Linked DNA regions of Macaca mulatta. The protein of the gene in region 1 interacts with the protein of each later gene in a pairwise test. Links are inferred from orthologs where the notes say so. Each region holds a gene or a part of one and is shown in the gene's direction. Other genes may lie near its edges.

What was found. The genes of interacting proteins can lie anywhere in the genome.
Region 2: the proteins of ZXDC (region 1) and WDR5 interact in binary tests that used the Homo sapiens proteins (3 or more experiments, as listed by UniProt). The link is inferred for Macaca mulatta from reciprocal best matches to the Homo sapiens genes ZXDC and WDR5.

The regions. Positions count from the first base shown.
Region 1 is NC_133407.1:157,498,904-157,506,320, forward strand, and holds part of ZXDC (zinc finger protein ZXDC), read left to right. Parts: intron 1-736; coding exon 737-867; intron 868-5,422; coding exon 5,423-5,593; intron 5,594-7,417. UniProt on the Homo sapiens protein: Cooperates with CIITA to promote transcription of MHC class I and MHC class II genes.
Region 2 is NC_133420.1:8,368,621-8,376,037, reverse strand, and holds part of WDR5 (WD repeat-containing protein 5), read left to right. Parts: intron 1-226; exon of another isoform or gene 227-246; coding exon 247-368; intron 369-1,090; coding exon 1,091-1,199; intron 1,200-1,870; coding exon 1,871-1,944; intron 1,945-2,304; coding exon 2,305-2,394; intron 2,395-2,689; coding exon 2,690-2,779; intron 2,780-2,996; coding exon 2,997-3,080; intron 3,081-7,417.

The DNA.
Region 1 (7,417 bases):
TATATTATTTTTAAAAAAAAAACTTAATTGGTATACTCTGTTCTTTAAAAAAAAAAATTCCAGTTTTGTTTAACTTAACATTGTAGAATAAGCTTTCTTCATGTAATTACAAGTTTTCGTGGTGGTAATGACAACCCTGGAGACTGTCTAGGTGATGCTCAGCACTTTACATGTGTGTCTTCTATCTTCACAACAACCTCAAAGCTAATGTTCTTATTCTCCCTGTTTTACAGTGAGACTCGGAGAGATTCGATGGTTTTTCTGTGCTTGCACAACTGGGCTCTGAGGATTTAATATAAAAATGTCACTTAGGAAAAGACACAGTCTTTACAAGTTGGCTTAAGAGAGTCTTTTAGCATTGCAGCTGATGCTCTGTGCACATTTCTCATGGCCCTCTGTCGCTCGGAAAGCTTGTTGATCATGAGGGTTTCTAAACAATAGAAACACCTTCATCAATACATTTGGGACTCCACCGTTCTTAAATTGAAATAGCATTAATTGTTCAATGTGTGACTCTGGGGTCTGCTTAGTCATTAAGGTAGAATTTTTAACTATGGGGTAGCTAAATTGCAAATCTTCTCACATGGATTAAAGACAGAGTAAAGATTTTCTGAAATGTACTACTGATTTTTGTAAATGTAAAGTTTGTATTTTGGTATATTTTGTAGAATTTTAAACAAAGAATCACGGTGAGTTGTATGAGGAATCACAGCTCCTTTATTTTTCTATCTGGCAGGAAACATGATGATGACCGGAGGTTTACCTGCCCTGTCGAAGGCTGTGGGAAATCGTTCACGAGAGCAGAGCATCTGAAAGGCCACAGCATAACCCACCTAGGCACAAAGCCATTCGAGTGTCCTGTGGAAGGTAGATTTTAAAACATTGCTTTGAGCAGTAAACTAAGTACCAGGCCAACATTTATCTTGTTAAGTTTCCATTGTTTGAAGGTAAATGTTAGCTGCTTAAAGACTGACTCAATATAAGTTGTGGCGTTGTGTTTAGTTACCTCATTGAGTTAATTGTACTATTTTGGGAGTAGTGACTTGAGAATCAGACATGGTTTGACTCATGGCCCTGATCCTCACTAGATCTGTGGCTCTAGTTAAGTTACCTGTTTAATTTGGTGGTCATGAGGATTAGGTGAAACGTGGAAAATGCCTGTTTATCCATCTGGCGTGGAGCTCGGACTCAGTAAATTGTAGGTACTTTTGAGATCACGTTTGAATGGTCGCTCCAATCATTTTGTAATTGCATAGCAATAAAGCTAGACTGACTTTTTTGTTTGTTTGTTTTAATTTTTGAGACAGAGTCTTGCTTTGTCGCCCAGGCTATAGTGCAATGGCGCAATCTTGGCTCATTGCAACCTCTGCTTCCCAGGTTTAAGTGATTCTTATGCCTCAGCCTCCTGAGTAGCTAGGACTACAGGCGTGCGCCACCACGCTTGGCTGATTTTTATGTTTTTAGTAGAGACGGTTTCACCATGTTGGCCAGGCTGATCTCAAACTCCTGACCTCAAGTGATCCACCCACTTTGGCCTCCCAAAGTGCTGGGATTACAGGTGTGAGCCACTGCACCCAACCTGACTTTTTAAAAGGGATAGTAGAGAGGTTTCTTCCTTTAAAACACTGAAGCCTTAGTTCATTTGCCAGAAATTGGCTGCATGACCTATGCGTGCTGGCCCTACTCTAGTTCTGCAGGTGCACTGGGAGGCAGTGAGCCAGGGCATGTTGGGTGGTCATGGATTCAAAGTCTGGCTCTACTGCTCCCTAAAGTGGTGACCTCAGGCAAGCTGCTTCTTTGGGCCTTGGTTTCCTTATATGAAAGAGAGAATATTAAAGACCCATTTAAAGCTGAGACTAGCTCTTAGAACATAGTGAACATATATACAAGTGAACGTATATACAGTTCCTTCTTCCGTCAGGGTTTTAGCTGGAGGTGCAGACAGGGGAACAGGTAACATGTAGGGTGCTGCAGGGACACAGAGGGTTTCCCCAGACTGCTCTTCGGGATGAGAATGGCCTCACAGTCAGCTGAAGAAGGGGAAAGAGCACCAGACATGTGCGTGTGGGTGTTGGGGGTGGAATGGCCTGGGAGAGCCTCTCAGGGCCATGAGTGGCAGGCTTGAGTGTTTGGGTGAGTGTATGATGTGATCATGTTTGAGTTGTGGCTCAGTCTGACTTCAGGAAGGAAAGCAGCCAAGGGTGTGGGGAGGTGGGATGGCCTGGATGGGGGCGTTAATGGTGGGAAAAGAGAAAGTGGCATCGATGGCAGAGGTGGGAGTTAGAAGTCACAATATACGGTGATGGATTTGGATTTTAGTTGAGGTCAGTGTCTCAGCTGAGTGGATTTGGAGGAAACAGAGTTTAGTTTGGACATGTTGTGTTTTTGGTACCTTTGTGCATCTAATGCACAAAGGGCAGGGGATGTGCCGCTGGCGCTGAGGAGAGTAGACCAGGCAGGGAGCGAAGCAGACAGCACCCAAGTCGTCATTTAAGCCACAAAAGTGGATGAAATTCTCAAGGAAGAGTATAAATGGAGGAGAGGCAGGGTAGTGTAGTTGATCAAAAACCTGAATTCTGGAGTCACACTGCCTGGATTCGAGTCCCAAGTCTGCCTCGTAAGTAGCTCTGGGACCTTGGACAAACACTTGAAGCTCTCTGTGCCTCTTCCTCGTCTGTAAAGTGAGTAAAACCTCCCAGGGTTGTTGGCGAAGGCTGGATTGGTTAGTAAGTTTAGAGCATATGGAAAACATCAGTACATATGTCAGTTTACTGTTGTTATGATTGCTGTTAGATTTTCTTAAAAAGGACCTAGGACAGAGCCCTGGGGCTGCCCCCGATTCCAGTGGAGTGGCTGGGACGGGTACTGGCAGGACCAGCAAGAGCACAGAGGGGGTGGTGCTGAGGTGAGAGGGGATGTGTGAAAGTGGGGGTCACCTTGAGTGCTAGGGTGAGCCAGGACCAGGGAAGACATGCCTCAGTGCCACCTGCGGGGTTGTCTTGGTGTGTTGATGGATGAGGTTCCGCGGGGTCACTCAGGCAGAGTCCTGCTCTGATGCCCTGAGAGGTGGCCTGAGTGGGAGACGGGGATGGTTTGTGCTGACACTTCCACCAGAGGTGACTGGGGAAAGGGGAAAGGTGGGAGTTGGCTGTGGAGGATGGGGCATTTATTTCTGTAGAGCTCTGTTTCTTCCAGCAAGTGTAGGTGTTCTGCTGGGAGAGAAAGGGGGCACTCCCCACGTGGTGTGGGCAGCATGTGGAGATGGAGTTGGAGCTAGTGGGAGGAGCCCAGGACCTCTTCTCAGCTGGACTGAGAGTTGATCATTCTTGGGGTTGGGCAATAGTTGGGACTGATGATACCATTTTTTCCACTTTGGTAGATGTTTGAACTGTTGTATAATAAAAAGTAAAAGGCAAAACTACCTTTTTTATAGTAACAGGAGGAGGAGGAAAGGACAGGACCACAGACCAGAAGTCTGTCTGAGGGCAGGCACTGGGTGGCATCATGACAGCCTCGGGGCTGTGTGTTGCTGGGGCCTGTGTCTCGTGTGTTGCTGAGCCTCGTGCTTGCCTGGCCATCCACATGAGCGCCTCACTGTCCTCTGAATGCAGCTTGCAGACAGGTCTATCAGTAATGGCTGCTTCTGCCTCTCCCTGGTTGCAGCTTGGATTTGTAAAGAATGGACGCAGATCTCAATATATGGGCAGAATTTGGAAAAGCCAGCAGTTAGTACACATGGAGAAATGATTACATTCCTGGTTGTCACAGGAAATACAAACCAAAATGAAATATATTTTTGCCTATGGAATTAGCAAATACTTTAAAAAATGGAAACCCAGTGCTGGCAAGAGTGTGCAAGGGTCCTGTTGTAGCGTGGCCCTGCCATTGGGAAGGCATTTTACAGAAGATGTGCTTAGAGGCTCTGCTCTGTGACCTGTCTCTAGAAATCCGTGCTCAGGACCCCCAGCTGGGAAAGAGGGTTCCAGGGTACCCTGTGTACCATGGTGAGCAGGGCATGCGGAGGAAACTGTGCATTTGCAGGGCAAGCCTGGGCCGTCGGACCATCTCCTGTGTTTCCCAGATGGTCTTTGATGAGCCTGACCTGGAAATGAGTTTGCAGCTGTATTAGAAAATGAAAAATGTAGTTGAAAACTACATTCACAGGCAGCCAAGGCCCTTACTCATCTGGCCGTATCCTATCTTCATAGCCTCTTTCCTTAAAATATCCCTCCTCCAGGTGCTGGGCTCCAGCAGTACCGCCCCACCGTCCTGAGAAGGTGCTGCGAGTGCGTCGTTGCTCGCTCCACTTGCTTAGGTCCATGCAGAGGCTCTGTAGACAGGTATGGCTTTATTGGGCCCTCAGCACCCCTGAGAAGCAGGTGTCATTCCCATTTCACAGAACAGAAAAAGGAGACCCGCAAAGGATAAATAATTTGTCTAAGGCCACACTGCTGGTAAGAGGTTGAACTGGAACCCAGGCTGGGGTGCCTGCACAGCTGCCCTTCATGCCCCCATACCTTGGCTGGGCAGCTTTTTCGGCAGGAGCACCATCTGCTTTGCTGCACAGTGGCCCAGTCACCTCAAATGCTGTATACTCCTGAGACCACTTTTCTGCCTTCTTGGGAGGTGTGCGGTTTCCTCTGCCGCTCGCATGCTTCAGTGTTGGCACTGACTTACTGCCCTTTGTTGAAGCAGCTGGCTATTCTACTTGCCCCTGCCGGGTGCAGGTCTCTGGCCACCAAGAGCTCCACGTCTTCTCCCTGCACCCGTATGGGGCAGAGCGCCAGCGTAGTGGAAAGCCAGGGCACGGAGGGGAGGTGACTATAACTTTGAATGTGTCTTGTTTTTCCTCTGATGCCTGTGTGCAGATCAGAGTCATAAGTGGATTGGGAGTGTAAGCAAGGAGATGCCAGCTCTGGGCTCCAGGACACCCGCTCAGTCTCCCTGGGCATCCAGTGTCTCAGTGGGAAAGTGAAAGGACTGGCTTTGGTGATCTGTTGAGATAGTTTCCAGCTCTAAATATCATCCTAGGATTACATTTTTTATGGTAATAGCTTAATCGAGATGACTAGAATAAATTGTTTGCAACTGATTGTTTAAGCAGTTAATACTTAATTTGACTTAATCTTCCCAACATCTCCATGTAGTGGGTGAAGAAACAGGCACAGAGGTTGCTTAGACATAGCTGAGGTAGGACTTCAAATCTCCCTACGGGTTTCACTGTATCTCTTGCTTTTTAAAAAGTTTGCTTTTGACTTGAATTGCTTGTGATGCTACTCCTAGAGATATTTGGTTTCTGTCCTTGCCAGTAGCCAGGGTGCAAAATGCAGGTCTGGTGGTTCTGATCTGATGAGGAAGTGTCACTTGTTCCTGGTTCCTTGGTGATCCTCAGGTTTCACACTCATTACTCTTTTTGTTCCAGGATGTTGCGCAAGGTTCTCCGCTCGTAGCAGTCTGTACATTCACTCTAAGAAACATGTGCAGGATGTGGGTGCTCCGAAAAGCCGTTGCCCGGTCTCTACCTGCAACAGACTCTTCACCTCCAAGCACAGCATGAAGGCGCACATGGTCAGACAGCACAGCCGGCGCCAAGGTCTGCACTTTCCACGGCCCCCGTGGGGAGCTGCTTCCCCGCAAGAAACAGGAATAGTGCCAGTGCCGTCTGTTCCTTCTTCACCTCTTGGAAGTCGTCGGGCAGTGGGGTTGTGGCCATGGTTGCCAAGCCAAGTGGCCTCTTTTGCACTTTCTCTGCCACTTTCTTGCTTTTGACCCTCTAATCCCTCCCATGTCTTTTGTTTTTTGAGACAGGGTCCCTCTGTCACCCAGGCTGGAGTGCAGTGGTGTGATCATGGCTCACTGGAACCTCAGGGTCCTGCTCAAGTGATCCTCCCACCTCAGTCTCCAGAGTAGCTGAGCCCACAGGCATGCACCACCATGCCCAGCTAATTTTTGCATTTTTTATAGAGACAGGGTTTTACTATGTTGCTCAGGCTGGTTTTGAACTACTGGGCTCAAGCAGTCTGCCCACCTCAGCCTCCCAAAGTGCTGGAATTACAGGCATGAGCCACCATGCCTGGCCCCTCCCGTGTCTTTGAAATGCTTTCCTGGAAGAATGTTTCACTTTGTTGACTTTCCCTAGTATATGTCCCCTAAGCCTGTGTCTCTCACTGGGACTTTTGTCCTGAATTCTGGACCTGCCCCTCCTGCGTTTCCGTCTGCCTCAGCTATTCTCTCTCCAAGTAACAAAGGCCAGAGCAGAATTGTGTTTCAGGAGTGGACTGGGAGCAGTGAGGGCTGGAGAGGGCAGGGTTAGAGGGGAAAGTGACGGTGGCTGGGTGACCTGTAAGGGGAATGCTGAGTATGTGAGTGCCTGGTCATTGGGCAGCTTTGCAGCATGGGACTAGGAAACCTATCCCACTAGGCCTTCTCCACAGTGCAGGATGCAGAAGTGCCTGGCAGCTGTGGTGGCGGCCCCTCTGAGGAGCACGCACATGTGCCCTGCTCTCTAGGGCCTGGTGCGGTTATCGCTCCTCACTGGGCCTAGTTGATGGCATCCTAGCTAGCCCTAGAGTTACTTCTGCTGCTCAGTCCGTGGAAGCTGTGTGTGTCACCAACTGGGTCCTCCTGTGGACTGTGTGACCAGCAGCACCACAGGAGAGCACTGGCCTTGAGGCGCAGCTGTGTCACAGCTGCCGCATTGGCAGGGGACAGGCCTCCATGCCTCGCACAGAGTTTGATGAGGGGTTGGGCTCAGGGCAGGTCTGTGGCCTTTGCTTTCTTGTGATCCTATTTGGAAGTGGTCATGAAGCCCCTCCTTGGGATCTTGGACACTGATCTTTCACAGTTTACAGCAGTTGCCATTCAGCTTTATATTTAAATAAATTGCCCTTCTTGCTTCAGTAGTGTCTTGAGGACAGGGAATGTGTGTGCCACCTGATTCATGTTGGAGGGTGTCATCTTTGCTCACAGAGGCCCACGTGACCAGGCCCCCTTTCTCTGATAGCTCTATGAGACTGCATCACTCAGGCCTCTCCCCTGTTCCGCCGTTCCCTCTCATGGCACACTTCCCCTTTCCTGACCTGGCCAATTCAGAAGTCAGCAGAAGCCCAGTGTTATACCAGATGCACTTTCCTTAAACTCTAGTGGGATGTGAGACCCTCTTCTGTAGCAGCTTGTGTATCCCAGGCTTGAATTTCTTGTGCAACAATGACTTACTTGTGTGTCATCCCCCTTCCAGCTGTCGGGTAGAAGACCAGGTGTCACCATTTCTCCTAGTGAAAAACAGGCACTAGAACACCTGGTTACTGTGGGATTATGTCATGCCCTCAGTGGGTTGTTTCAGTCCCCCTAACGGTGGTCCTGGGAGTGGGGTCCTCACTGGTGAAACCAAGATAGAAAGTACTTGCCAGGGTCACAC
Region 2 (7,417 bases), on another chromosome or scaffold:
TGAGGTGTTTCAGTATGATTACAAAAGGGGCGAGCACAGGGTGTCAGCGGAGCAGCTGGAAAGTATTAGCAACGACTTAGGGTCATTAATAGGGTCCTCGATTTGGAATGGTTTGTTTGCTGCAGGGCTCAATATGGTACTCAAATGTTTTTCTTTTCGTCCTTTTTCCTGGAAATCAATTTTTAAAAATATGGTTTGTTTCTTGGCTTCCTGTTCTGCATCTCAGCAGACTACCTCTGTCACCAGGTCCCTCCGTCCACGTTCCTTGTGCGGCCAGCATCAGAGCCATGGCAACGGAGGAGAAGAAGCCCGAGACCGAGGCTGCCAGAGCACAGCCAACCCCTTCGTCATCCGCCACTCAGAGCAAGGTGCGTGCCCAGGGGCTCCTTGGGCGCCTTCCGGGGGCAAATATGCTTAGAGATTCTTGGAAACGTTTCAAGCTCATAAGCCTTGTCTTCCCTACTCAGTTAAATGTCACTGCTAATTTTGATTTACTGACCACATACCTAATGAGTGCTTGTTACCTGCTGTGCCAGGAATCCCCAGTCTGTCACCTGGAGGAGGGAACAGATTCTCGGTCCTGATTGTGAGAGTCTCTAGGACCCAGAAAAAATCTCTCCATAGTTGCCCCCACCCCGGCTGCGATCCTGAGGCACAGGCAGATCTGCAAGCCCTCCTGTAGACCTTTAGCAAAGGGAGCAGGGCCTCGGGTATGTGTGGGGTGGGGGCAGTGGGACGCTGGACCAAGGCTGGAGCTGGTGGGGGCCTCCTGTGTTGTAGCAGGATCAGAGGTGGGCTTGAGGTGGGGTGATACATTGAGGGGGCCTCAGATGTTTCTGGCTCGGCTGGTGCTGTTGGTACGGAGTTTGGGGACTACAGAAGAGGTCTTGTGGGGAAGTAGTGGGCTCAGATTCAGATGTGTTCCACTTGAAAGGTGACGTCCACATAGGGATTGGTGGAAGGCACTGGGCATGTGGATTTGGAGCTCTAAAGATCTGAGCCGAAATTAAATGCTGGAGTCACAATCCAAACTGGTCACGAGTGGAACGCACAGTGGTGGTAACTTTTCGCTAACTGGTCTCTCCCGCAGCCTACACCCGTGAAGCCAAACTATGCTCTAAAGTTCACCCTTGCTGGCCACACCAAAGCAGTGTCCTCTGTGAAATTCAGCCCGAATGGAGAGTGGCTGGCAAGTTCATGTACGTAGCACTGAGGTCCTTAGCTGCTGGGAAAGGCGGTCTGAGCTGCAGACAACAAACCGGCTGGGGGTGGCTGGTTTCCTCACCTGCCGCTGGGGGGCTGTAGCAGGTGGGCGTGTCTCCTCCTAGAACTGTCACCTTAGTGCCGATTGAAATTGCCCGTGGGGGCTGGGCGTGGTGGCTCACACCTGTAATCTCAGCCCTTTGGGAGGCTGAGGCGGGTGGATCACAGGGTCAGGAGTTTGAGAGCAGCCTGGCCAATATGGTGAAACCCCGTCTCTACTAAAAATACAAAAAAAAAATTAGCCAGGCATGGTGGCACATGCCTGTAGTCCCAGCTTTTGGGAGGCTGAGGCAGGAGAATCACTTGAACCCGGAAGGTGGAGGTTGCGGTGAGCCGACATCATGCCACTCCACTCCAGCCTGGGTGACAGAACGAGACTCCGTCTCAAAAAAACGAAAAAAGAAATAGAAGAAGTTGCCCGTGGGCCCTTGGAGGGAGGGGAAGGGGACTGGTCCTCTCGGGGATGTGGCCGTGCGGAATGGGTTCTGAGCCATGTGGTTCATGCTGATCATCTGGGGCTCATGTGGGAAAAGCCCAGACTTTGGATTCTGGATGACTGGACAACTGTGTCTTGCTCTTAGCCTCAGATCCTTTTGTTTTCTTTCAGCCGCTGATAAACTCATTAAAATTTGGGGCGCGTATGATGGGAAATTTGAGAAAACCATATCTGGCCACAAGCTGGTAGGTTTCAGCCCCGTGCGGTAATGTTGACTGTTGAACAGGGTGGCTCCTAGTGATCAAGGGGTCAGGGCTGCTTCGAGAGCTGTGGGTTCAGATTTAAATTTCCACGTTGTTTTTTTAGAGTTATTTGCATCTTGAACTTTTAACGCAAATACATTTGACTTCCCACGGAGGAGTGTCTGTGAGGCTGGCAGAGCTGTGGAAAGCCTGCTGTTTTCCTCCAGGGCCGCGTGTCTTTTGTAAGGTTAAGGCTAGTGAGAAGATTTCCTGAGGGCAATGGAGATGTTTGGGATTTTGACCTTTTGCTAACCGGTCCTACTTTGTCCTGGCAAGTTACTGACCCTGTTTTTTCTCCCCAAGGGAATATCCGATGTAGCCTGGTCGTCAGATTCTAACCTTCTTGTTTCCGCCTCAGATGACAAAACCTTGAAGATATGGGACGTGAGCTCGGTAAGCAACACTCAGCGCTCCTCTCCAGGGGAGACCGGCAGCGGGGCACAGGGCGGGTGGTGGGGACTGGGTTGACTGCTCGGTAAGCAGCACTCAGTGCTCCTCTCCAGGGAAGACTGGCTGCAGGGGCACGGGGCGGGGGCGGGTGGGGGAGGTCGAGTTGACTTCGGGGAACAGCCAGTTGCTGGCGGGGCATCAGGCATGCTCTGAGCTGTCAGGCATTGATGAATGTGATCCGACACTTATGTTTGGGGAAATAAGCACTGGAGTAATACTACTAATACTCTTGTTTTAGGGGAAGTGTTTGAAAACCCTGAAGGGACACAGTAATTATGTCTTTTGCTGTAACTTCAATCCCCAGTCCAACCTTATTGTCTCAGGATCCGTGAGTGTGGCCGGGGTGTCTTCCCTGGGGGAGGTGGTGTTGGATGTTGGGAAGGCTGTTGAACTTGCTTGTAGCCACTGTGGAGAAGGCAGGTGGGGCCCGAGTCCTTTCTGTGCTGTTTGTGGGGAGGATGGACTGGTGGCAGGTCTTGGGTTCCGGGGAGGTTTGCTCCTTCTCCTTCCTGTAGAATCACTGTCATTTCTTCTTTTGTGTTCAGTTTGATGAAAGTGTGAGGATATGGGATGTGAAAACAGGGAAGTGCCTCAAGACTTTGCCAGCTCACTCGGATCCAGTCTCGGCCGTAAGTCCTGCTGACACAGACGGGGTGGTGTCCGGCACTACGTGCCTCTGATGCTGGATGTGGCCAGCTGTCTCCCCGAGGGGCGTAAGCCTGGACGTTGCCTGTGCCTATCTGATTCCTGCTGTCATGCCACAGTCTAGAGCAATCAGGTTGGAGGCTGGGACCTGAGAGATGAGTCCTGTGTGCAGTAGAGGGATGGCAAGGGGGTGGTGAGGTGTCAGTGGGGTGCCCTGTGGTGAGCACCAAGGGGCCTTTCGTGCAGGCTGGATGGGGGGTGGGCAGTGGCCACAGGCGTTCAGAGGGTAGTGTACCCTGAACTGATGCATGGGACAGGAAGGGCGGCCAGGCTGAGAAGGGTGCTGGGAGTGGGAGTGTAGGTGAAGTGTGAGTTTTGAGTGGAGTTAGCTCTGGGCGGGGATGGCCCAGTCCTGGTGGGAACAGTTGGAAGCTGGAGCTCTCTGGAGAACAGGCTTTGCAAAGGAACACATCCTGCCATTCTGCTGTTGCTGTACCACTGTGCAAAACAAATGACCGAGAGGCCGAGCATGGTGGCTCACGCCTGTAATCTTAGCACTTTAGGAGGCCGAGGTGGGTGGATCACTTGAGGTCAGAAGTTTGAGACCAGCCCGACCAACATGGTGAAACCCCGTCTCTACTAAAACTATGAAAATTAGCTGGGCGTGGTAGTGAGCGCCTGTAATCCCAGCTCCTGGGGAGACTGAGGCAGGAGACTCGCTTGAACCTGGGAGGCAGAGGTTGCAGTGAGCTGAGATCGTGCCACTGCACTCCAGCCTGGGCAACAAGAGCGAAACTCCGTCTAAAAAGAAGAAAACAAGAACAAATGGCCGAGAGTTAAAGTGTATGCAGTATCACAAACCGCTCCATTTCAGAGTGGCCAGAAGGTTCTTCTGTTAACAAAGTGCATGAGGCAGTTTCTCGGCGAAGCCTGCCCTTCGTTGAGAAGCAGAAGGAAAGGTGGATGCAGCGTTTGTGCCATGCTGCCCGCCAGTGTGGCATTCATTTTCTGTTGTCTTGGTGGTGAATGGGTTTAAGCATTTTTACCCTTGCAAGGCTTTGCCCGAGTGAGATGGCAGGCGAAGCCCTGGTACTGGCTGGATGGGTAGTGTGTCAGGCCAGGGCGGGGTGCGGTGTCTGAGCCCCGCACATAACCGGGCCACAAGGCCCTCGCAGGCCCAGTGTCACCGCTGCAGGGAGGCTGTTTGCTGTGGGAATGTCATCATGTGGCCCTGTGCTTGTGGCTGTGTGCTCGTGGGCCCAGCCCCTTGGTGCCAGTCCCCTGCCCTTCAGGGCACCTTGGGTCACAGTCAGCGGAACTGACTTTCAGACTGGGCTGACAAATGAACACTTGTGAAGTAACCTGAGAAAGGGGTTCGCTGGTGGCCTTTGAGTTGGAAGAAAGAATTCCATGAGCATCCTAGAGGCCAAAGATAGTGCAGGTGGGACTCGCAGGTGATAGGCAGGATTTTAAAAGTCTTTTTCCTACAAAAGTAGTTTGCTCATAAAAAGACAAAAACAAAAACAGGTTGGGTGCCATGGCTCCCACCTGTAACTCCAGCACTTTGGGTGGCTGAGGCAGGAGGATCCCGTGAGACCAGGGGTTTGAGACCAGCCTGGACAACAGAGTGAGACCCTGTCTCTATACAAAAAGCAAAAAATTAGCCAGACGTGGTGGTGTGCACGTGTGGTCCCAGCTACTTGGGAGGACAGGGTGGGAGGATTGCTTGGGCTCAGGAGTTTGAGGCTCTGGTGAGCAAGATGGTACCACTGCACTCCAGCCTGGGTGACAGAGTGGGACCCCATGTCTTAAAAAAAAAAAAAGGCCGGGCGCGGTGGCTCAAGCCTGTAATCCCAGCACTTTGGGAGGCCGAGACGGGCGGATCACGAGGTCAGGAGTTCGAGACCATCCTGGCTAACACGGTGAAACCCCGTCTCTACTAAAAAAATACAAAAAAAAACTAGCCGGGCGAGGTGGCGGGCGCCTGTAGTCCCGGCTACTCGGGAGGCTGAGGCAGGAGAATGGCGTAAAAACCCGGGAGGCAGAGCTTGCAGTGAGCTGAGATCTGGCCACTGCACTCCAGCCTGGGCGACACAGCGAGACTCCATCTCAAAAAAAAAAAAAAACAAAAAAACAAAAAAAACAAAACAAAACAAAAAAACCTACAAAGGTGAGCAAATGTAGGAAGTAGAAAATGAATTCCCTGAGTCACCCCTGGGGTCAGCTGCTGGGAGGTGGAGTCGGTCCCTCTGTGGTCTTCTACTTTGCTGTTTTAGGTGCGTCTTTTCCAGCGTAGCTCACTGCTGTCCTTTAAGTAACTGGTACTGCACCACAGCTGCTGCTCTGTAGCCGTCTCCACTGCAGAGAGGTTTGTGGGGGCTTTGTTTTTTCTTTTTTTTTTTGAGATGGAGTCTCACTCTGTTGCCCAGGCTGGAGTGCAGTGGTGCGATCTTGGCTCACCGCAACCTCTGCCTCCTGGGTTCAAGTGATTCTCCTGCCTCAGCCTCCCGAATAGCTGGGATTACAGGTGCCCACTACCACGACTGACTAATTTTTTTTTTTTTTTTTTTTTTTTTTTTTTTTTTGAGACGGAGTCTCGCTCTGTCACCCGGGCTGGAGTGCAGTGGCCGGATCTCAGCTCACTGCAAGCTCCGCCTCCCGGGTTTACGCCATTCTCCTGCCTCAGCCTCCCAAGTAACTGGGACTACAGGCACCCGCCATCTCGCCCGGCTAGTTTTTTGTATTTTTTAGTAGAGACGGGGTTTCACCGTGTTCGCCAGGATGGTCTCGATCTCCTGACCTCGTGATCCACCCGTCTCGGCCTCCCAAAGTGCTGGGATTACAGGCTTGAGCCACTGCGCCTGGCAATTTTTGTATTTTTAGTAGAGACAGGGTTTCACCATGTTGGCCAGGCTGGTCTCGATCTCCTGACCTCAAGTGATCCACCCGCCTGGTCCTCCCAAAGTGCTAGGATTACAGGCGGGAGCCACCGTGTCTGTCCTGGGGCACCTTTGATGTCTGCGCACATCTATACTCTTGGACTGCTGGTGTGGGCCTGCTGTGTGAGCAGGGACTGTGCCAGTCCTCTCAGTGGGTGCTTATGTGTAATTCTCACTTGAACAAAAAGGAGTGCAGCGAACATCCTGTTTGCATCTGTGGCAGTTTGTGAAGGATGACTTTGGAGGGGAAATGCAGTAGTCAGGATATGTGTTTAGCTTTTTGATAGGTACATTTTGGAGCTTTAGAGACTTTGAGGCACGTGGCCCCCTGCTTACTGCCTCCCATCCCTGTCCCATCTCTGGCCAGGGTTTGCCCTCTCTGGCCAGGGCTCCTCAGCTGAGGGTCGCTGCCAACCGCCGTCAGCCACAGCCCTCGCGCCCTCGTTGCACCTGGGACCTGTGTTTTTCCTGCCCTGGAGCTTCTGCTACTGCTTGTCTGCCCAGGTGGACTCCACAGAGCCCTTGGAGTGCTCCTTGGCTAGGGGCCTTGCCATCCCCTGCTGGGTTCTGGCTGATTTCCTTATCTATTTCCTTTTTGTTTTAATACTTATTTTTTTATTTATTGAGACGGAGTCTCGCTCTATTGCCCAGGCTGGAGTGCAGTGGCATGATCTTGGCTCCACCTTCCGGGTTCACGCCATTCTCCTGCCTCAGCCTCCCGAGTAGCTGGGACTACAGGCGCCCCCCACCGCGCCTGGCTAATTTTTTTTGTAGTTTTTATAGAGACAGGGTGTCACTGTGTTAGCCGGGATGGTCTTGATCTCCTGACCTCGTGATTTGCCCGCCTCGGCCTCCCTAAGTGCTGGGTCTTTTTTTTTTTTTTTCTTTTTGGGCACGGGGTCTTACTCTGTTGCCCAGGCTGGAGTGCAGTGGCGTGATCTTGGCTCACTGCCTCCTCCACCTCCTGGGTTCAAGTGATTCTCCTGCCTCAGCTCCCCTGAGTAGCTGGTACTACAGGTTCATGCCACGCCTGGTTAAGTTTTGTATTTTTTTGTAGAGCCAGAGTTTCACCATGTTGGCCAGGCTGGTCTCGAACTCCTGGCCTCAAGTGTTCCGCCCACCTCGATTTCCCAAAGTGCTGGAATTACAGGCGTGAGCCACCGTGTCCGGCCTCTCTTATCTACTTCCTAGCACTGAACTCTTCTGGCAGCCTTCTGCTAGAATGCAGGGGATGGGCTGTATTGCCCCTTGCACCTGAATGTGGATGGAATGGCAGAGCTGGGCCATGTTTGCCAGTGGGTAGTATTGGAATGTGGTTAAGAAGCTGAACAAAGCAAAGCATGGAGTTGGCCTTGTGAGTTTTGGGGACTTGTTTTGTCTTA